Linked DNA regions of Struthio camelus. The protein of the gene in region 2 interacts with the protein of the main gene of each other region in a biochemical or structural test. Links are inferred from orthologs where the notes say so. Each region holds a gene or a part of one and is shown on either strand. Other genes may lie near its edges.

What was found.
Region 1: the proteins of FKBP4 (region 2) and HSP90AA1 form a complex in vitro, tested with the Homo sapiens proteins (4 studies listed by BioGRID and IntAct). The link is inferred for Struthio camelus from reciprocal best matches to the Homo sapiens genes FKBP4 and HSP90AA1.
Region 3: the proteins of FKBP4 (region 2) and GLMN form a complex in vitro, tested with the Homo sapiens proteins (2 studies listed by BioGRID). The link is inferred for Struthio camelus from reciprocal best matches to the Homo sapiens genes FKBP4 and GLMN.

The regions. Positions count from the first base shown.
Region 1 is NC_090946.1:71,305,261-71,312,773, reverse strand, and holds the start of HSP90AA1 (heat shock protein HSP 90-alpha), read left to right. Parts: upstream 1-4,492; 5' UTR 4,493-4,632; coding exon 4,633-4,911; intron 4,912-6,518; coding exon 6,519-6,677; intron 6,678-6,774; coding exon 6,775-7,141; intron 7,142-7,513. UniProt on the Homo sapiens protein: Molecular chaperone that promotes the maturation, structural maintenance and proper regulation of specific target proteins involved for instance in cell cycle control and signal transduction.
Region 2 is NC_090942.1:88,453,819-88,460,813, reverse strand, and holds the start of FKBP4 (peptidyl-prolyl cis-trans isomerase FKBP4), read left to right. Parts: upstream 1-3,945; 5' UTR 3,946-4,205; coding exon 4,206-4,289; intron 4,290-4,541; exon of another isoform or gene 4,542-4,603; intron 4,604-6,995. UniProt on the Homo sapiens protein: Immunophilin protein with PPIase and co-chaperone activities. Component of steroid receptors heterocomplexes through interaction with heat-shock protein 90 (HSP90).
Region 3 is NC_090949.1:18,832,217-18,839,569, forward strand, and holds the start of GLMN (glomulin), read left to right. Parts: upstream 1-4,332; 5' UTR 4,333-4,417; intron 4,418-5,996; 5' UTR 5,997-6,005; coding exon 6,006-6,071; intron 6,072-6,556; coding exon 6,557-6,682; intron 6,683-7,353. Other genes in the region: putative RNA polymerase II subunit B1 CTD phosphatase RPAP2, read right to left, coding at 661-775, 2,956-3,001, 4,180-4,240.

The DNA.
Region 1 (7,513 bases), on a different chromosome or scaffold from region 2:
AGAAAATATGCTATAAGGCATTAAGGCTACAACATCCAGCACTCAAAAGTTAATTGAATGCTAGAATTAAAATTCTCTATGCAAAGCTCATTTAACTTCCTTGTGGCTTATACAAATAAAAAAGTTTATTCAGCAACACTGAAGAAGCTTATGGCAGAATCAAGAATAAAAACCAGTTTTCCTGGGTATTATTTCAATGGTTTGGATATTAAATAACTTTCTTTCCTCATTCCTTCCATCTTTTACTTTGTTCTTTGTTCATTTTGTAACTTTCATGTGGCAAGGAGTTCTATGAAATTGTGTTAATTAAAGACTATTACAGTGCAAATACATATGGGAACAAGTATGGCGCCCATTCTTAGGAAATCAGCAAATGCAAGGTTGAGGCCTATGCAGTTAGTGCAGAGCATATCTTAACTTTCTAGCACGTGTGGTTGGTATGGAATAGCTTTTCGTTAAAGAAGGCCCGATTCTGCAACATTTGATCGAAATGTGAACTTTCTGAAGGCAGAAGTTGCTCAGATTCTGACAAGAAAAAGGGGAAATCAGAACTGCTTGCCTTGGCTTAGATTGCATATTGTGGGTTGTGGGGGATTTTTACCTTTGCGCTTACAGTAATCTTTGAAGTGATAAATCTTGCAGACTACATGGCAGTTTCCCTACGTTATTCATTCTAATATTGCATCAGTAGGAAAACCCATCCCTCAGACACTGGCTACACCACCTGCTGAAAAAACTGCAAGAATATTTTTAGTCTAGTTTCCTAAGGAAATGGAGACATACGCAACAGTATGGCTGTTGCCCATCAGTCCCTCCCTAATGATTTCGACCTATTAACCAATTCGGTCAAACTTAGCAAAGGTACAGGGATCACAGAGATATCAAGGTTTGAGAAAATCAATAGCTGAGTAGCAGAAACACCTTCTCCTGCTGCCCCTTTTGAAGGAAAGGATGGGGAGAATTCAGATTTATCTTCCCCGTTTGGCTGACCTAACAGCTAGGAGACAACAGCTCACTAGTCACTAAGCACATGAGTGTGCCCCAGCCATAGTGTGTACTGCCTCTTGCTCAGGCTGGAAATCAGAGAAAGGTGGATAAAGGATAGATGAGTTTGGGAAGATGAGGAGAGGTGCCAGGGATGCCTAGGGGACATAGGAGAGAACAACAGTGTAAATGTGCCGAGAACATAGGACTTGAAAAATTCAGGTGTCAGCATTTCCTCTATTCGCAGAGCTATTTGTTATAACAAGAAAGTATTTTAATCTCTTTGCTGGGGGAAAAAAAAGGAATTATTTTGCTCAGATTTCCCCTCACCCCCCAAATTAACTCTGACAGAAACCACGTCTGGAATGTTTTAGCCCTAAAACCGAAGCAATGCAAAACTGGAGTCAGTTAACATGGAGCAACCACAGGAACAAAATGCGTTTTAGCTAGCCATCACGGCCTAAAAGAACAAAAAAGAGTATCTAGTCACAATCCATGAAGAAAATATTAGCTTTATACAGGCACACAATTATAAGAAGCTGGGTTAAGCAAAGCTGGGAAAACGGAGATGGTTTGGTACAAGATTACTTTCTCCTAGTGGAGGGAAAACAACTATTTTGACAAAAAGTCCGTCTGTTGAAGGCTGCCTTTGAGAGTTTAATAACACAATTGCAAAAGAGAAACAGACTAATACGACTACCAGATTAGACGATATAAATTCCGGTCCAGGATCCTGCAGACACCATGCAAAATCTGCCACAGGTTTTCATATGCTTAAAAATTAAGTAAAGCCGTAAGCCTGAAAGACTGAATCGACAGTAAACAAGGGCTTATAATGGAAAAGATTTTCTTGAGAATAACGTCTCGAAAATATTAATAGAAGTTGCACTCTTAATATTGTGGACTTCTCCAGAGGAGCGCATGCAAAAGAATTTTAGTAGGATAGTCCTGGGAAAATAACTGGACAGATTTCTTCAATAGCTTAGCAGTTTTGTAAAACATAGAATTTACTAGAATTTTTGACACAAATTTTAGAAAACAATCGAACATTTCAGGTGACGGAGTTTGAATGTAAGAGGGTGTCAGCCTAAGAGGCACGTCGTATAGGAATTTATACAGCCGGATTACATTTAATCGAAGAAAAATATGGAAGTTACGCTCTTGTGCTCGGATTTAACTGCCACACTTTATTAAGGCAGTGGTAAGAAATCATTAAGCTGCTTTCTGGAAGCAGGCAACCAAAGCAGCAGTAGGACCACTCAAAACACATGCGGCATGAAAACAAAAGAACACGTAATGCTCAAGAAAGGATTTTGGTGCATGTTATTTTGTAGCGTGCATATGTGTTAGAGAAAAAGAAAGGCATTGAGAAGCACCACAAATCAGACCCGGATTAGGCACAGAAAGAAGTAAAGAAACAGGCAGAATACGCACTAAAAGGTCACCCACGCAAAAACTTAGACCTTTCTAGGCTGAGCGTCGGTTCAGTTCCAGCTTTTTGCAGCGCCTTAGCACTGTAAGCAAATAAACTCACAGTTATCGTTTGGTTATTCTTGCGTGCTGAGGAACAGCTCCTCTTACACCCTCGCAAGTTATTGTTGACACTGCGATCAATTTCTCTGTGTAACCAAAAGGACCCACAGGCCCAGGTATTTTGGCTGACTGCTTGGGTCAGAAGTGTAATGACCCTATTGGGAGGGGCAGAATCCTGTAAGTCATTGCATCTTTGAAGACCCTGATGTAGACAAGAGCAGCAGCGACAATGAAGCAAGCAGCTGCAATTTTGATTCCTTGGCTGATCCTACCTGACGTCTTACACTTAACGTATCTTCTTGCTCATCAGAGAAGGTACCCAGAACTACTGAAAACTCCCTGAAAGGCATGATAACTGCAAGAAAATCAGACCTGCAGGCCACAAGTCAATCAGATTTGTTTGTCTAGGTCAAACTGCAGGATGAAGCATGTTAAGGATGTTAGATTCATCCTAAGGATCTTCAGTTAAATGCCTTAACAGACCTAAGCATTGCAATATCCAATTTCTGTGGCACGCTCCCCCCCTCTAATTTAGAATGTTTAACTGGGAAGAGGGCAGCTCGGGCATAAAACAACTGGATTCTCAAAAGTCAATCAGATGCCGAACTAGACAGGTGTCTGGAGTACATCTAAGAGATCCAAGTGGAAACGCTAAAAAGGAAGTTGGGCCCGAGACGAACTTTTGCTACAGAAACAGCATCGTTTTTATTCCTCCAACGGATAAACAGCTACTCTTTTCAGAGAAAAGACAGCAGAGAGATTCTCTAGATCCATGTCTACCTCAGTCATTTGTGGACAGTTGTGACACTTAATACTTGTATCCATAGAAAGCGGAGCAGCTCCAAGAAGAAAGTTTTAGAAGCTTACTCGGGAACACATGTGATGCAAGTCATTCTCCTGAGACAGGGAAGACCTGCATTTAACTCCCTGCTTCCTATTGGGTAGTTCAGGATTTAAAAATAACCTCCCCAGCTAAGCTAAACGCCTTAATCACAGAGCTAGCTACTCAGTTTAATGAGAGACACGTACTCATAGACTTCTTTATGCTCGGTCTCAGAGATATTCTCACGCGCTAGATGGTGCAGGCCAAATCCAGTCTTAGAACGCCAGGGAATTTCAGACTCAAGGCTCTCATAAACTAACCATCATTGGCATCCTTCTAGTAGCTACTGTTAGCACCTAAATCCTGAACAGGGGTAACTGCACAGCTACGCGAGTCTTCCAAGCCTCTTGGATTTCATCCCTCACCTCTTTTTATCCCAGAGAAATATGTATACTGAGAGGTACGGTTTCGTTCAGCTTGCAGACTGCCACTTGCTTTGTGAGAAGCGGCTTGGTTTTCCCGATTAGGTGAAACGCTTTACCGCAGCATCCCCAAGCTGTGATTCACGCAGCTGCGCCTGGCTGAGCGGACGTGTCCTCCCGGGCTCGGGAGACGCCCTGCCCGGCAGGGCAAGCCCGCTGCCACCCGACCCCCGCCAGCCTCCCCGTGCTACCCGCAGCCCAGGCCTGAGGAGCAGCAGGGCCGCAGCCACCTGCGCAACCGGCCTGAGGGGAGCCACCCCGGCGCGTTTAACCGCGCCCGGGGCCGGGCGGGCGCGGCGCCCCGGCTGCGGCTGTGAAGCGGGAGACGCTGGGCCCTGAGGGCAGCCGGGGCGGCTTCTCCCCCCACGCCGGCTCCGGGGAGGCTCCGGCAGGGGGAGGGGAGCGCGGGGAGCCCGGCGCGGGGAGCCCGGCGCCTTCTAGGCCCTTCTCAACGGCGCGGCGGGGCGCGCGGCGGGCAGGGGAGGGGCGCAGCTGCCTGGCCCCGCCCGCTTCTAGGACGTTCTGAGAGGCGCGGGGCGACGGATGATGTCACCCCGCCGCTTGCGCAATCCCGCCGGACCCCTCCCCCTGAGCGCCGCGCGCGCGCCCCACCGCCACCCCGGGCAGCCACCGCGCATGCGCCTCCCCCACCCCGCCTCCCCAACTCTCCGCTTTCTCGACCGAGCTGACGGTTGGAGGAACGGAGAGCGCGCGCTCATGCAGCCCCCTAGCTCGCTCGCGCACATCTCCCCCCCCCCCCCCCCCCCCGCCTATCCCGCCCGCCCTGACACTTGAGACAACGGCAGGCGCATGCGCGAGACTCGCCCTGTGACGAGCGCCTTTCGCGGACGGCTACCACTGGCTGCGGCGGGCTCGGCCCCGCCCCCAGGTGCCCCTCCCGCCCGCCGGCTTGCCCCCTCCCCCGTGCCTGTCAGTGAAGGTTCCCGATGGTTCTGGAAGGAGGCGGCGCCGGACCTATATAAACCCAGCGGGCGGCGGGGAGCGCGCACTAGTGGAGGCGCAACGGTGCGGGTAGAGCGCGTTCGCCGCTTGACTGAGGAGACTAGCAGCCTTTCCCCCCCTGCAAAGGTGAGCGGAGGCGGTGGCACACAAAGGATGGTTAGCACTTGAGTCCCGAACAGGCGCCGGAGAGCGCGTTTTCGCTTCCGCTTTGAGCGGCTGGCGCATGCCTCCGCGCGGTGCTGTGATGGGGGGCGGGGGCTGGGGGGGGTTACAACGGGGAACCGCGTGGTGCAGGGGGTGACTTTTTTCCCTTTTTCGCCTTAGTCCCGGGGAAAGTGGGCGCGGAGGGGTGGTAGGTCTCAAAGTCTGGGCTTCGGTGAAGGAAGGGGGGGGGTGCTGTCGTTTGTGGAGCCGGAGTTTTTTCTGCCTTTCCTTAAAAAGGGTGGAGGAAAAGGGAGAAACGGCGGGGGGAGGGGGGCTTAGGTCGTGGGTAGGCCGTTTTATCACGGGGGAGGGCTATCTTTTTGGGACCGGTTCCGTCTTTACCGTGGGGCGCTTTGTGCCGCGACCCGCTGGCTCGGCTACAGCGGGGTGGTCGGGGGAAGGGCGGGCGGAAGCCTCGAGCTCAATGAATGAGCTCGGCCATGGCGGCACAAGATGGAGGGAATGGAGGCGGGCGGTTCTTGTAGGGAAAATGGATGAGGAAAGCGTGGGGTGCCGGGAGGGGAAGAAGAGAGGAAAAGACGTGGTCAGCTATGCGCCCTGTTCGTGGAGGAGGGTGCGCGCTGCGTGGGACTGGTGCTGTCAGGGAGTGGGTGGAGGGAGAAGGAGGGGGTGGCGGTTGAGGAAGGCTCTGGCAGTTTCTAGAACCTTTCATGCTTCTGCCGGGAGCCTGTAGGGGGCGCCGCGGCCCAGCGCGCCGGGAGGCTGATCCTGCTCGGAGCCTCTCGGGAAGCAGTGGCTCTAAATCTCTCTTGCCAGTCTTTTAAAGGAGGCCGTTCCGATCGGCGTGTTCGCAGCCTTAGGCGCTGCTTGACCGAGTTGTCGATTGTTTCTTACTGTTTCAGCGGTATAGTTGAGGCACAGAAATTTGGCGTTGCTCTCCATTCATCCTGTAGCGGATGAAGTGGGGACGCTTTTGAGCCCCCCCTCATTGGGGAGGGCCTCCTAAGCAACAGATTGTTTGTCAAGCTTGAGTAACGCGCCTGCGTAGGACGAAGTCGTTTAACCAGACGGTTCTGTGAAGATAATAGCTGCGTGAGCAAAGTAGAAGCTGGATGGGAGAAGAAGGAAACACTCCGAGTTGAGACTTAGTGGACTGCAGAATAATCCAACCAGTATCTCTAAAACGCCAGGCCAAGCTGTCAGTAAGATTTTTCTATAGGGTAAAAACACGCAGCGCTTAGACTGTGTCCAGGGGACATAAGGGTGCTGAATTCATTCGCAGATTCTCGAGGGGAGCGGTAACGTTCTTTTGCCTTATCCTTAAAGGTTAATGCAAGTCGGGGTCCACAGATTCAATCTGGAGTCAGTTCTCAGAATTCGGGAAAACTTGAAATTGTTACTGGTCGGAAACGCAATCTGCTCTTCTCAACCGATGGTGTTGAGTGTTGTATTTGAAGCCGTGTTGTTAGTGTCTGGATCTCGAAATGCTGTTATCCTGGATTGTAAATGGGTATGGACATCAAATGGCAGTTGGTTTGGGTGGAGCTTCACCTTACCTCCTCTTACAGATGCCAGAAGCTGTGCAGACTCAAGATCAACCAATGGAGGAGGAGGTGGAGACCTTTGCCTTCCAGGCTGAGATTGCTCAGTTGATGTCTCTGATCATCAACACTTTCTACTCCAATAAGGAAATCTTTTTGAGGGAGCTGATCTCCAATTCATCAGATGTAAGTACTTGAGCTGCTAGATGAGCTTGTTTCAGTATGATTTCCAGAACTGTTAGGAGTAGTCGGGGAATGTTAAAGCCCGTCTCTTCTCTTACAGGCGCTGGACAAAATAAGATACGAGAGCTTGACTGACCCAAGCAAACTGGATTCTGGGAAAGATCTGAAAATTAACCTGATTCCAAACAAGCATGATCGCACTCTGACCATTGTGGATACAGGCATAGGGATGACCAAAGCTGACCTGGTTAATAATCTTGGTACTATTGCCAAGTCTGGTACCAAGGCTTTCATGGAAGCACTGCAGGCAGGGGCTGATATATCCATGATTGGTCAGTTTGGTGTTGGCTTCTATTCTGCCTACCTTGTTGCGGAGAAAGTGACTGTGATTACCAAGCACAATGATGATGAGCAGTACGCTTGGGAGTCATCAGCTGGAGGATCTTTCACTGTCAGACTTGATAACGGTAAGTGTTCCAGGTTTCTGCTCAAGTGTGTTTTCTAAAGATGTTTGCCATAAAGATGTTTGCCGTTCAGGTTCCTGCTCTAGGCGTTGTAGAGCTCAGTAGCACCAGTATATAACGTGGGTAGTACTCGTCATGTGTCAGACGAAGCACGGCCCCAGCAGTGTGTCTCCTCATGTGTCGGTGTACCCTGCTTAACTGTTTCCAAGTGGTAGGGGGAATAGCTGCATTAAATGATGTTTTACGGTGAAAACTAAACTTCTTTTTAGCTTGCACACGGGAGTATTCTCGTAGACTCCTACAACTCTCATGATAACGTGAGCAGACTAATTAGTGAAAATTTTCTTAATTTTATTTAGAACCTTTGCCTGGGTG
Region 2 (6,995 bases):
GGTTATCAAAGACATTTTAGGTCAAGAAAGCAATTCACCCTTTTTTTTTTTTTTTTTTTTTAAACAATCCCTGTGCTGGAGTTGCTAGAGAACTGATTAAAAACAAATATAGTACCATTTTTACTACGAGTGCATCAGAATCAACCAGGTAATCACCCATTTGTAATTATTGACAGTACTTTCCTATGGCACTTTTACAGCAGTGGACAAAAGACTACAATTTCCAAGCTTAGTAAAATACTGTTGTGTTTTAATGAAAGAACCAGGAATTGCCCATCCTTTCTGGTGATGTCAGCATGCATCCATTAGGGTATATTCACTGGCTACCATGCAAAGAAATAGAAAACCTGAGCGTCTAAATATACACCTGCCCAGCAATCTTAATTGCTTTTTAAAGATAAAACCTCAAAAGGAAAGAATAAAATGAAAGTAGCTGATGATATCTGTTTGGATAAAATAACTTTGCATTTGATTTGGAAAGGTAATTAAAATCTTAGTTCAAAAGCATTTAACTAGCATCCTATGAACTGAAACAGGCTCACAGGCTATGATCAGTGAAGACAGTGATATACTGTCTACACAAGAAAGTGCTAAGTTTAACCTTTTTAATCTGTATCTGTGATCTAAAAAAGGACAGCACCTATCACATAAATGGAATTAACAGATAATGCTAAACAGAGTAGTTATGTGTAGAAGCACAGGAGAAAAAAAATCTTACTAGAAAATGAAAAAGAAGGGAACTTATATAAATGCAAGTCCTATGGCCTGTACTTTTCAAAAAGTGTTGACATCTGTTAGTGAACAAGCAGAAGAGCAGCTTTGAAATCACTGAGAACTGCCGATCCAGAGCCTCTTGGCTTTCTGTGGGTTGGAGGGTTTGGGCCTCATTTGCATGCCCGCTATGTAACAGCTCAGATCATTTCTCTTCAAATTTTGCCGGGTTTTAAAGTGAGGGATAAGTGTAATACCACTGTTTATATTTGAAAAGGAACATGAGAGGCCCGTGTCTAATGCTTTTTGATAGGGGGGTCATGCCAACCTGTTGCAGTTTGGAGTGATGCAGTAAAGGGTAAGGAGGAATACTGACTTCAACTCTTCTCCTGAACTAAAAGGACAACATGGGGCTTGTTGTGTTAGATACTGCCAGGAGTAAAAGACAGCAGGGACACTGGGACACCTCGGCGAAGCTGCAGTGGAAGCTTCTCAGGCTCTGGGATTTTGAGAGCCCTATGAATGAAGAGTGGGTAGACTGAACTTGGGTGGAGGGCAGCAGCTGACACCCTGAGCGGCCTAACACGGGTGTTACACGCACTGACGACATAGGGTTCCACTGAAGAAAGCTTGTGCTCTGCTGTGCACTTCAAGGGTCACGCAACCAAAAGCAACAAAAAAGCGTGCAAATCAAACAGATTTGACATTGTTTCCTCCTTACTATGCATCATTATATTTTATAGTGCAACAAGCACAAGTATTACAAGCTATCCTTGATCTCCTAAATCATATTTTCCAACAGGCTACAAGCTAAAGCTCAGCTGTGTTATACTACGCCTATCTTTTGATGGCTTTTCATCCAAACCTTATGATCTCTGGCAAATCTTTAAACAAACCTATTCATAAATGTAGCAAGTTGTAAACCAACATTAGCTAGGCTTGACCTCCTGGGAGGCTGTTCCAGAGTCTTGCTGGAAATAGTTGTTTTGGGAACATTTTACTGCCCAGGCGGTTACTGCCTTCATTTTCAAAACTATCAGATGACTCTACTATATGTCTTCTGAAAACAGGCCTCTCATATGACAGTCAGGGTCTTTTCCAATGCTATGGTAATATAAATAAACCTTAAAGGACACTTTAAAAGAGGCTTAAAAGACAGGGGAGACTCAAACTTTTTTGCATACAGCAAAAAAATTTATTTTAAATCAGCATAGAGCATGACAGGAGAAAATCTAGGAAAAGAGAGGTCAGGGATGCACCGATGACTTTGGAGTGCAGAGAACTTGTGTGTTAGCGCTGACCTGAGACTGCAAACCCAGTACAGTATGGACTCGTTGGTCAGGAGACAGATGAAGAATCTCCATGTTTTTGGTGTGCCTCGGCTAACAAGACCTGCTAGACTTGCTGGACCTGAACCAGATTTGATGCTTCTCTGTGCTCCCCAGAGTGTCAAGGTCTAGGTTAGCATGCACAGAAACAGCTTGCACCTCCCACAGATTTAATCTGCAACCTAAGTAACCGATCCTTGGGAAACTGAGAGTTGACTGCAGCTAGAACTTTCTAGACCAAATGCACCCAAAAAACAGTGTTTTCTTTCTCTCTTTTCCTCACCCCCACTTACTCCTCAGATTGAAACTGCACCAAAGCAGATGTTTGCTTAGGCCTGAAAAGCATGTTTTTTTACAGGGGAAACCTGTTGATTTTACAGTTTGCATCCATCTACTGAAATAACACCAGGCTCTTTGTTTAGGTTCTTTCCACTGTTTTCCATCGGCAGAGCCAGGCTAACGGTGCTAAAGTCTTTGTGTACTGTGCATACATGTAGTTTTATATTGACACAGAGCAACTGCAGAGCCAGGGCAGACGCACCATGCCTGCTCACAGACCAACTGCACAGGCTGCTGCCAAGCCCCCTGCAGCCTTTCCAGGGATCCCTTCCAAACTAACGGTTTGGGGGGTCTGAACCGCACGGACCAATGCCCTGAGGCGGCAGTGGGGATTGGCAAACTGCCTCTGGAAACACCGAGCATCTGTCCACCAGCCTCTGGCTGCTGCTATCGAGGGGTCAAAACATCACGTTGAGAAAGCAGAAGCAGAAAGCACAAAATAAGCGGGTTTCTCTCGGCTCTCGGGCCCGTGCAGGCCATACGGACGTTCTCACTCAAAGCCCGCGGCTTACTTACCGCGGTTGGGCCGGCGCGGAGGAGCGCGAAGGCCGGCCCCGGCCCCGGCGCAGCGCGCTCTGCCCGGGCGGACGCAGGCGGCGCTGGAGGGCGCCGCCGCCCGCAGGCAGCAGAGGCCGCTGTGCGGCAGGCAGCGCGCTGCAGCGGCAGCGCCCGCCCCCAACCGCCGCCCAGGGCGCGTCGAGAAAGTGAGAGAAAACTGGGGAAAAGAAAGTTCAGGAAGGGTCGGGAGCACGCCCGCCACCTCACAACGCTCACGGAAGGGGGAGCAGGCACAGCTGCACGCGGTAACCCCAGGAATCCCGCAGTAATGGCTTGCAGTAGAAAGTTTAGCGCTGCAAAACTTAGCACCGAATCGCCAGAGGGGATCCTGGTCTGATATTACATCATTGCAAGTTGCAGATATTTGGACTGAAGGTAGCACGCAACGCATAACGTTTGTGCTGTTGCAAATAAGCTCAGAATCTTGGTTTGCTTATTCCACTGTACTTGTACTAACAACCTCCATTTTCAAAGGGCGTTTCTTTTTTGCAAAGCTGCAGCAATGCCCAGCACTCTGGGAGTGGGTCAAGGCACAAAACCACCGGAATGACTTATCCCCATACAAACGTTTTACTGCTCAAAGCTAATTCTTAACCACAGAACTTGGGTCAGAAGCGTACTAAGCCTGTTCCTACCCTTCTTGGTTCACATAGTTTTATTTTTAAGCACATAGCTTCTAACCGGATTCCTCAGCTCAGTAAGCCAAAAGACATGCAAGCTACTCCTACTGCTGCCTCTGAGAAGGCACTTTGCTTTGTGCCTATTTGCGCTTTCATGTAAATCTGAGAACATGTAGCGGTAGGAGGAAGAAAAAAGAAAAGGGAAGAAAGAAAGAAAGAAAGAAAGAAAGAAAGAAAGAAAGAAAAAGCTGCCTGCTGCTTACAGCGTGCGCACCCATGCGGCCACACAACGCGTACTTTCCCCTCAGCCCCTGGCGGGCTCGGGCTTTTTAAACCCTCTCGGCTACCTCTCTAGAAACTTCTCGGCCCCTCCTCCCCCCTCCCCTGTCTCCTCCCCTTCCCCATCGACCTCCGGGCCGGCGCTGCGGCGGAGGTAGAGGCGCAGGAGGCGCGCGCCTGCCCGCCCGCCTCCGCCTCCCCCTCCCCCTCCCCGCCGCGAGGTGCCGCCGCAGCCCGGGCGCGAGCTGACCGGCGTGGGAGCTGCAGCCAGTGGGCGGGCAGGCGAGCGGGCGCTGAGGCCGGTGCGGACCCCCCCTGAGCGGCCCCCCCCCCCCCCGTCCTCTCCGCAGCGGTGGCAGCGGCAGGCGGGATGACGGCAGAGGAGATGAAGGCGGACGGGGCCCCCCTGGAGGGGGTGGACATCACCCCTAAGCGGGATGAGGGTGTTCTCAAGGTAAGCCGGCGGCCGATCGGGGCCGCCTCCCTCCGTTCCCCACCCTGGCTTTTGGGGCTGGCAGGAGGGTTTCTTGGGCGAGCCGTGGCGGGGGGGGGGGGTTGGCGGACCCGTGCCTCCTCGTTAGCTCCTGCTCTTGCCCCCTGCCTTCCCCCTCTCTTCCCCCCCCCCCCCCGGCCCGGTGTTCGCTGGGCTGCGTGGTCCCTCATTTTCCCCTTCCTTCCTGCCTTTGCCTCAGGACACGGCCGTTACCTGGCTACCCGCCGCCCGGGAGGCTCGTGCGGCCCTTGCTGTTAAACATTAGCCACGCCACCGCGGGGCAGCGGGCGGGAGGGCGCCGCGCCTTGCGCGCGTAGCCACGTGCGCGCCGGCTTGCGCGGCTGCGGCGGGGGGCGCCCCCCTGCCGGCCGTGGAGGAGGAGCCGTGCTGGTGCCGAGCGGGGCTTTCGGTCTCCAGCTGGGAAGGTTAAAACGGATTGCGAGGAGGATGCGCTACGTGTAGGTTGCTGCACAACACGCGTGCGGGCGAAGGGGCGATCAGGAAGTTGTGTGCCTTTGCCGTTCTCCCTGAGCGCGCTCCCATGCCCGCTGCTGGCTTGTTTTGAGGGGTGTTGGGGGTTTTTTCGTCCCAGCATATGTTCTCGGGGGCAGGGATATTTAAAAAAAAAAAAAAAGCCTTGGAATAGTATGTATATTCTGTATTCATTCAGAGTTGGTATAAAACAATGCTGCTCTGTGAACCTGACCTTAAGAATCTGAAAATGGGGCTCTCCATCTTGGTGGAAGCAATTTCTTAAACATGAGATAATGCCATATACACTTGGTCCTGATGTAAGTGTAGTCGCCATCTGTGTGGCAAGAGGCAGGAAGGCTGTCATTTGTTCTGTTTCATGGGAAATACTAGCTGTTAGCAAGTTAAGAGTGAGGGTGTTAATAGGGCGTACTGCAGGGCTAGTTGTGGTCACAATTTTTGCCAGATATTCAGCGTGCCAGTAGCCTGGCTTCTTTCTTCAGTACTTGCAAGTCAGTTGATAGGAGTGGCAGGATTCATATGAATGAGGGGGGAGTTGCATTAACTTCCTCCTTTCTCTAAAATTTCCTATTTCACAATCTCTAGAAGCTTCTTTAGTCCCTAGAAGCTTGAACAACAATCACTAGAAGCTTTTTTTTTTTTAATTCAGTAAAATTTCAGATCAATTATGTTATGAAGAAGAAAAGCAGGAGGATTGTAAAGACAAAATTCTACCTTTAGTGGGACTTGTCTTTGGGGCACTTCCTCTACTTCAAAGAAGGGTGTTGAGGACTAGACTGAAGATGTGTACTTGGTTCCTATAATCTCCTTTACCCATATTTCTGCTAACGTATTTCGATGAGGGTTTCTAGCTTTTGTGTATTGCACAGCATCAAGTTAGTGTTCTCGCATATGCGGCTGCCCAAGAAGTTGCCTGCTGGTGTGTCATCTCAGCTCCCTGAACGTTGTAAAATGCAATGTTATAATGCCTGCCTTATCACTCCATGTACTATGCATCTTTTGATGATGGAAGAGAACCAGGTAATAAAAAAGGAAAACACTGGCAAAAGAACTGAGGAAAGGTGAAATTTTGGACTGATGAGGTGTAGAAGAATGTAGACGGTTATGAAGTCCAGCCAGTGCGCCTTCAGGGGTTTTGTTTTTGTAGTAATGTAGAAATGCAGAATAAACCTACAGAAATCAGAGGTCTAACTCTGAACTAGTCTACACCTATCTTGTACTGGTGTCATTTAATTGATTTCAAGAAAGTTTTCATTTGTTTATCAGTTTCATATCTGTATAGTATACAGAGGTTTTTACCTGGGGTGTGGAATGTGATTGCATTGCTTCTAATGTAAGCACGTAAGTTTAGAAATAGAAATGAGCTTTGCAATCCCATTATGAGCAGAAAAAGCAGCATCCCCCATCTGAAAGGGAAAGGGGTTACCATACTGAGTATAGTGGGGGGGAAAAAAAACAACTCGATTCCTCTCCAAAGTGAAGAAAATGTGAAAGAATAACATTGTATAAACACTGAAAATGAGATATTCATAACTTTTTGTGTTGTCTAACATTGAAGAACCTGGCATTTGAAAGAGCTTAGTAAATTATCATTAAATGCAGTTATTACAAGGTGATTTCAAGTTGGCTGTCTTAAAACTACTAGTCTCCTAACAGCTTGGAGCCTTTTTTTTTTTTTTTCCTTCTTAAATTTAAAATCATGATGTAGTTCAAATTGATTACTAGATTCCCATTATTTTCAAATGTCTCTATTTACTTATCTCTTTCAGTTAAATGATTGCTTGAATTGTCTTCCGTGGAAAAAAAATTAATAAATTATCTTAGTTTTGTAGCATGAAGAACTGCTGTAGCATTCAGGTTATGCAGGGTGAGGGGATGGTATAGTTAGATAAGGCATCCTTCATTACATTGAGCCTTCTGTCCCTAGGTAACAGCAAGTAGTAACTTCTTTTCTGCCTCTACTGAGATACTTTCAGTTTGTTAAGACACAAGCTTCTGACAGCTTCTATTAAGACACCTTCTGACAGAAGCTGTTCATGTTTGCCTCTGTTTCAGGCAGAGGGGCCCTAGAATTTCACTAACAAAGTTGGGGCAAGGCACAAAGTAGGAGATTCTGGCAGTGGTTGCAGGAAGTTGAAATTTGGGAGTGAGAGTCCCAAGGGTGTGCTTCCTTCA
Region 3 (7,353 bases), on a different chromosome or scaffold from region 2:
CACAAAACTGCTGAAAAGCTCCACATTAATTCCCACTGCACAACACAGTCATCCTGAGCTTGATCTCTCAGCTTTGGCCAGATGAAACTATCCTGTATTTGGCCTGGGCCATGCAACTAATTCTGGACTTGATTTCACCATATGTGGTCACCTTTCTCCTACTGCAGCAGGAGCTCCCACTCTATGTACCGTTTCCAATTTGGTCATGGAAAACTTAGCTAGGAAACCCACATGTACCAGAACTGTAACATGTTCCTGCAGTGCTTCGCTTCAGGTAACTGCAGCAGGAATAATCCTCACACAACGCCAGCAAAACAGTGCTGCCAGATAAACTTTGGGGCAAAGAGCAGCATTGTAGAAACTTTCTCTAAATCCACAGAGGAGGTGATCCGGAGCTACCGTTTTAATATTTCACCCATCAGTCAGGAGCTCAAGAGGCATAAATGAAGGCTGTGGTAATAAAGTGAGTATATACACATAAGTGTATACAGTCCTTGAAAACTAGGGCATATTTTCTCTGCAAAACCCCTGAAAATACGGCAATCGTCCTCAGATCTGAAGAGATTTGTCTACTTTAAACTGCAGAAAACAGCTCCAAGAACTTTTTAAAAAAATTCTAACGCTAAGATACAAAATGGTATAAAAACTTGCAACACTTACAGAATTCACAAGGAACTCTTCAGTGATGTTCTCTTCCAGCAGCTGTTCAACAGTATACAGTGCTTTTTTTTCAAATTCAATCTTCTTTCTAATAGCAGCCTCCAGGGCTGCTTTCCTTTAACAGAACAAACACTGGATGACAGAGAGAGCAGACTCCCATGAACAATTTACCCAGTCTTCTCTATCTCTTTTTTCTGAAATATAGCAGCTTATATTTTTCTGCATTTCACCATGGTGGCCTAACAAAGCAACAAGTAATTGGACTAGGAATTTTCTAATAATCACAGGCCACCAAACAAGTTTCCAAACTTTGTTTACTTTTCTCTTCCCCTCAGTCAGAAAAGCATTGACTCTTATTGGCAAAACACCACAGAAGAAAAAAGTAAAAGCTTCAAGAGGGAGAAGAACCTCCTGTCTGGTAAGTAAATACATTGCTGCCACAAGATAACTAACTATATCAGTAGGTTTGTTGTGCCTGTGACACTTAAAAAAACAAAAACAGAGAGCTCTGCAAGAAGAGACAGTAATTTTTGTTAGACCAAAAGATATAATGGGGAAAAAAGCAATCATCTTTTGCACACACAGAAACCCTAGTTTAGGACTACTCTATCACCCCAAACCAGTTCTCCCAACAGAGGAGGCTCAAAAGTGTAAGAACTCAAAAGGCAGGGGTACGCTTTTTACTACATAAGCATGTAAGAGTCTAACTATACAATGGAATTACACGTTCTGCCACAAGAACTGCAGTTTTGCTTGCACTCATTGGTCATACGTTCCATTATATCCTTCCAGGTGGCTGCAATGAGACTCCACTATGTATTACATTTTCTTGATATACCCGGATTTTGGTCTTTGCTGAATTTTATTCTCCTGCTCTGAACTACGGTGATTAAACACCAGCAGCCCAAGTGACAGAACAGAGATTTCCCTTTGTAGTTCTTCCTCTCACCAGAAAAAAACCCCTCTCCTGCCACTTGCATCGGCACTAAGATTCTGAACGTTTTGGGCAGCATTTACTGCTCATGTAGCCACTTGTTTCCTGCTCTGGAACAGGTGACATGCTGTCCCACCCAGGTTAAAGGAAGAAGGTATGAGCCCATAGGTAAAACAAGGACAACCATTTAATCTTCATTTCTGAAAAGACTGGAGGTTAAACACGTTTCATTTTTCTTTCTGGTCAAGCTATTCTCCTGGAGCTTGGCCTAAGTACTATCAAGTCTAGGATGACAAATCTGAGACTTAAGATCCGCATGAAGTTAGTGCGCAGTTCAAGTCTGCCATTCAGATGGGTAATAAACGCTATGTAAACCAAATCTCTGGCACTTGGAAGGGGCAAACCAGACCAAGTTGCTCAGGCTGACATTTCTGAGTCATTGTGTGAGCCAGCTACATGCTCATCCAACAAGAAGATGTCAGCTCCTCCCCCACACCTGTACAGCACATAATATCTGTCCTGCAGCTTTTAGCCCTGTTAAGATTTAATATACAGCTCTGGACTCAAAAGTTGGCTATAATCATTCTAAAGAATACCGGGTTCATGTTCAGCAAATGCTCAATAAGAGATGGAAGAGATGTATCTGTTTTTCCAAGGGTCATTTGAGAATCCCCCAGAGAGGATAGGAACTGGTTTCTCAAGTAGGATCTTAAAGAGTTAAGACACTCCGAAATCAGTGTTTCAAGATTTAGATAAAGAGTTGAGAAAATAAGATAGAAATCTAATTATTAGCAGTACAGTCTGAAATCCAACAACAATGTCTTTTGACTTAAGTCAGCTATTATTACTTTACCAGAAGTATTACTTTTAAAAAAGCCAACTATAAAACCTGACTCTTCTTAAAAGGAGGGGAAGCCCAGAACGGGCTGGACCAAAAGCCTGGGACAAACATCTATGGATTGACAGGAGAGGCGTCAAGTACAGGAAAGAAAAAGGACTAGGACAAGACTGAGCGTGAGGGTACAAAAGAAAAGAAGGAATAAATCAAAGGGTTTCAAGGGGAAAAAAATGATAATACCACCCTCTACAGCTACTATCACTCACTACCTTGTCTAGTGCTTTAAGTAGGGAAGTGGTGTTTTATCTTGTAAGTGTTTGAATGAGGTATCTCTATATTAAGGTATGTAGTTAAAAGTTATGCAGCATCATTGAAAACAGGTTAGCATGATCTGTATACTGGCTTATTTCCTTAAGTTAGCTATGGTATTTTGAGAAAGAAAAAGAAAAAAGTGAAATGGAGAATATAATCAAAATGAAGCAAAACAATGAGATCGCTATGTACTACTAGTTAGAAATCGTACCTCTGAGCAGCATCTTCATTCTTCAGAGCAGCTGAATGCTTATTTCCTAGAAATCAAATAGATAAATCAGTATACCTTCTTCCTTTAAAATGCATTTTAAGCCGTGAACAAACGGAACTGTCATGTTTCCATGCTCAGCCACCGTGCAAATAGTTCGATCCAGGAAAACATTACAAACTCCAAACTGTAACCATAATCAAGGCAGTTGCTTAGGCGCTTGGTTTTTGGTGGCTGCGCCTAGCTACCGTAAGCTGGTAATCCACTCAGCAACTAGTTAGACGCAATCTTTGTACGCGAGCGGACAGACAGGCCTAACGCTGTTCTCTCGTGTGACAGGCTCTGCATAACGAGCAAGCGAGAGGAAAACGGCTTCTGTCTGAGCTGAGAAACGCAGCTCTCCCCCTGCGGCCACACCGCTGGGAAGCGATACCCTTTTTTCACCCTCCCCTCACTCTGGCCGCGGGCAGGGGCTGCCTTCGGCCACGCAGGCCCCCCGCCCGGCCCCCCGCCCGGCGACAGGCCGCGGCCTCCGGCACGGCACCGCCGACGCAGCGGGGCTCTGCCTGCGCCAACCCCGCTCTCCTGCGCCCGCCCAGGCAGCCCCTCCGTGCCAACACACCTGACGTCTCCCGCACTTAAGAGGAGACGCGGCGTCCCCCCGCCGGAGCCCCGTCCTCCCTGCCACCGCCCATCTCCTTCGTGCATACGCCACTTTTTTTTTTTTTAAAAACATGAAGCCATTTTCAGTACTTTCTGGGCAGTCAATACTGTCCAGGCAAACACGGAGCAGCAGGGCGGAAACAAAACAGACTGATAAGCTTCACACGTGTATTTTCAGGGGCTTTGATCAGCTGTGAAATGCGGCGCGTTTGACGCCCGGCGCCGGCGCCGCCCACCGCGGCAGAAGCGGGGCCCGCAGCCCCAGGAGGAGGCGGCGGCGGCGGCGGCGCCGCACCGCTGCCCGCCCCTCCCCAGCCCCACCGAGCTCACGGCAACCTCTAGAGCCCCCTCCAGCCCCGCGGGCACCGCCGGAAGGGCGGGAGCCGCGCCGGGAGGTGTTCCAACCGTTGTCGCCGCACAGGCAACAGCAGAGACCCCGGGAACCCGCAGGCCTCCTCTCCTCCTGTGCCGCGAGTTGGGTCATTCCGCCGGAGCGGCCTCAGGGCACAGGGAGAGCCCACGGCGCCGCACGGGGGGGGGAGAGGGGCGGCACGCGGAGCCTACCTGCGCGCCGCCGGCTCGCTTTCCCCTTCGCGACGCCCTGCGGCTTCGCGGCCGCCATCATCGCTGCCGCCGCGCTCCCTCCCTCTGACCTCTGACCGGGAGGCGGAGCCGGGCCGCGGCCGCGAGCGGGGAGAGGCGGCGGCGGCGGCCGGGCGGGCCGGGCCGGGCCGGGCCGGAGCGGCGGGAGGCGGTGGCGGTGGCGGCGCGGAGGGGCCGCAGCCCGGCGGCCGCGGCTGAGGTGAGCGGGCGGCGGCGTGGTGCGCGTTTCGTTCAGCCTGGCGGGCGCGGGCGGCAGCCGCCTCGCGTTGGCCTGCGTGCCGTCGCCCAGCGAGGGAAGGGGCTGAAAACAACTGGATGTTACCAGTGAGGGGGCAGTTCGCTTGAGAATTGGTAGCGGACAGTTCTTCGTGATTCAGGTGTCGTTGGCTACTGAAACCACTGAAAAGACTTAATTCGGAAGTGGATTAAGTGTTAAGACCTGAACTGGCTCTGGGCTCAGCTGGCAAATCCCTGGCAGCTCAGGGCATGCCTCAAGGCTGTCAATGCATTATAAAGTTACTGAGGGCTGAAAATGCAGGGCTATTAACGTTCAAAAGTATCTTTACATTGTTTGGGGGGAATTAGTAAGATCCTGTAAAATTAAGAGCTGAAGTAGTGCAGTGAATGCTAACAAAGTGTATGATAATCACAAAATTAAAATGACAGGCCCGATGCATTGCTACATTGGAGTGAAGTAGAAATGTTAAAATAGGCAATTTAGAACAGAAAGTAAGTTATTTATTCTTTCAGTAATAAAATTCACATACGGGTGCTTTATAGGTTATAGTGAGTTGACTGATTTTTGTAAATATCTGAATAGCTTAGATGCGTAGGTATTGCGTTAGCTAAGGTCAAACTTAAGGGGAAAGATGGAGAACCGTACATGGAGATGGCCGTATAGATACGGAGCTTGGATATTTTCGTGAGAGTTAGCTGTTCACTCAAGGGCAGAGGCAAGTGACTTGTGCATACAGTCACAGTGGTTATGTAACCATATTTATGCACGTGGAATTAACGTAAAGCATAAAGAAAGAATGTGACTACCGCTATGATATATCACGTGAGAAAACTGAACTTGACTTTATTTGTAAGTCATGGCCCTGACCAGGTAGAACTTGATATGCACTTAATTTTACTCAAATGTTTAACTTAACTGCTTTCAGCAACAGCAGTTGTAGTGTCTAGAGGTAAAAGGCCACTGAACCAGCAGTAGAAAGAAGTAAATGATACTGCACATGTAATCTTTATGAGACTAAAACGGTGTTGATATAAACTGGCACGGTGGTTGGATCAGCTATGCACATCCCAGGCATCATCTAATTAGAGCCTTCTAGTCAGATCTAAGCAGAGAGCTCATCTGATTAGCATATTCAGAGCAAATGTAGCGTAGCGGGGACATCCGCACCTGGTACGCAGCAAGTCCAGACTTGCTCTGCAGTAGTTGCAGTTCTCAATGTAGGTGTTCATGTAGTAGCCAAAGCCTGCTGACAAATTTTTAAGATACCTCTGATAACATTTGAAAAATTACTCCCCTGTACGCAATGTAGGCTGCTTCCTGTCTAAAATAGTATCTCCTGCAAGTACAGGAGGTAGAATAATATAGCATACACTCCTTAAAGATGCTTTTCTCCTATCTTTCTATAATTCAGTCTTCGTAATATGTTTGTCTTGAGTCTTCTCATTTCTCTATTCAGCGTTCTTTTGACAATGTGATTATTTTTCAACCTCTGTTTTTACTTTGGGTGGTTTAGTATTGCACTCTTTTTAATTTATTACAGAAATTTTAAATGCCAGAAGAACAAAGTCAAACTATAATGGCAGTTGATGAACTTCAAGCCATAATACAGAGATGCGTAAGTACTTTTCATAACAGTTGTAGGCGAAAGCAGAGTAAGTTTGTCTTTATACACTGTAATTAAAAGCAAAATGACCCTAAAAGCAGGACGGTTGTTAGCAGAACTCCTCATTGGGCAGCTAGGTTTAGCCTTCATGCTTCATTGCCTTCTCTTTGGTGCTTATCCCAAGATGCTTGGTAACTTCTGCCTCTTGGAGGAAGATATGTTCTTGTTTCACTCAGCAGTAGCTGTGTGAAGGAACAAAACGCTAGCAGATTGTTGCAGAAAATGCATCTCCCAAGTAACATGCTGTTGTCTAGACTTGGAAAATACTATTGAAATACTGCTTTCTCTTCTGTAGTGGCTCTCAGTAATTATTTTTAGTATATAAAAGATGATATGCAAGAAAAGACATTCCATTTGACTTTGCAATGAAAGCTTGGGTTTGCTTATTTTTTGTCTTTTATAAAATACAGAGTCAAACATGCGTATTTTCTTTCTAGCAAATTCTGGAAGAAGCTGATTTCAGGGGAGAAGATTTTAATCTGTTTCAGGTAGCAGGCCAGAAGTGTTTAGAAGATGGATATGCAGCTCAGTTATTAGAAGTAGTTCAAAATGAGAAAAATAAGGTAAGTTTAGATTTATGTTACGTCTTAGCTGTGTGCTAAACACACCATTAATAGTTAAAGCTGCATATGAGGTGGGAAAGCTACTTTCACTATGGAGTAAGGGTGCACATATGAATAGTTAATCAGTTGGTCTGTGTGAAGTGCACATTCTAGTGTAATTTGAGTTACTATGACTTGTGTACTCAAGTCACAGTAATCTTAACAAAGCTATTAACAGCTGTTTTCCTGTGAGTTAAGCAGAAGGGAGAAGAGAGGCCAACCTCATAACGAACAGAAAGTGACAGTGGCCCTCTGTGGCAGGAGAGAGAATTTCAGATGGCTATAACAGCATTGGCCAAAACCGTAAGAGCAAACAGCTAAGCTGATGCTAATGGAAGAGAAATTGTGTGTATGCGCTTTGAGGGGCTGGGAGAACGTACTTACGTTGAATATAGATAAAGAGGAAGTCTGAAAGGAAGGGAGGGATGGAATGTTTTGGCAATATTGCTCGAGTCTGATTATGATCTCTGTGATCATCTTCAGTAGCAACTGAAGGTCTTCAAAGAATGGGTTTTCCCGTGGACAAAATATTGTCCAACAATAATTTCTTTAAATTTTCTTTCCTTGATTTGTCTATTCAAAAACCAGCAAAAAATCTCCTATTTGAAACGTTTTATCATATAAATATCTGG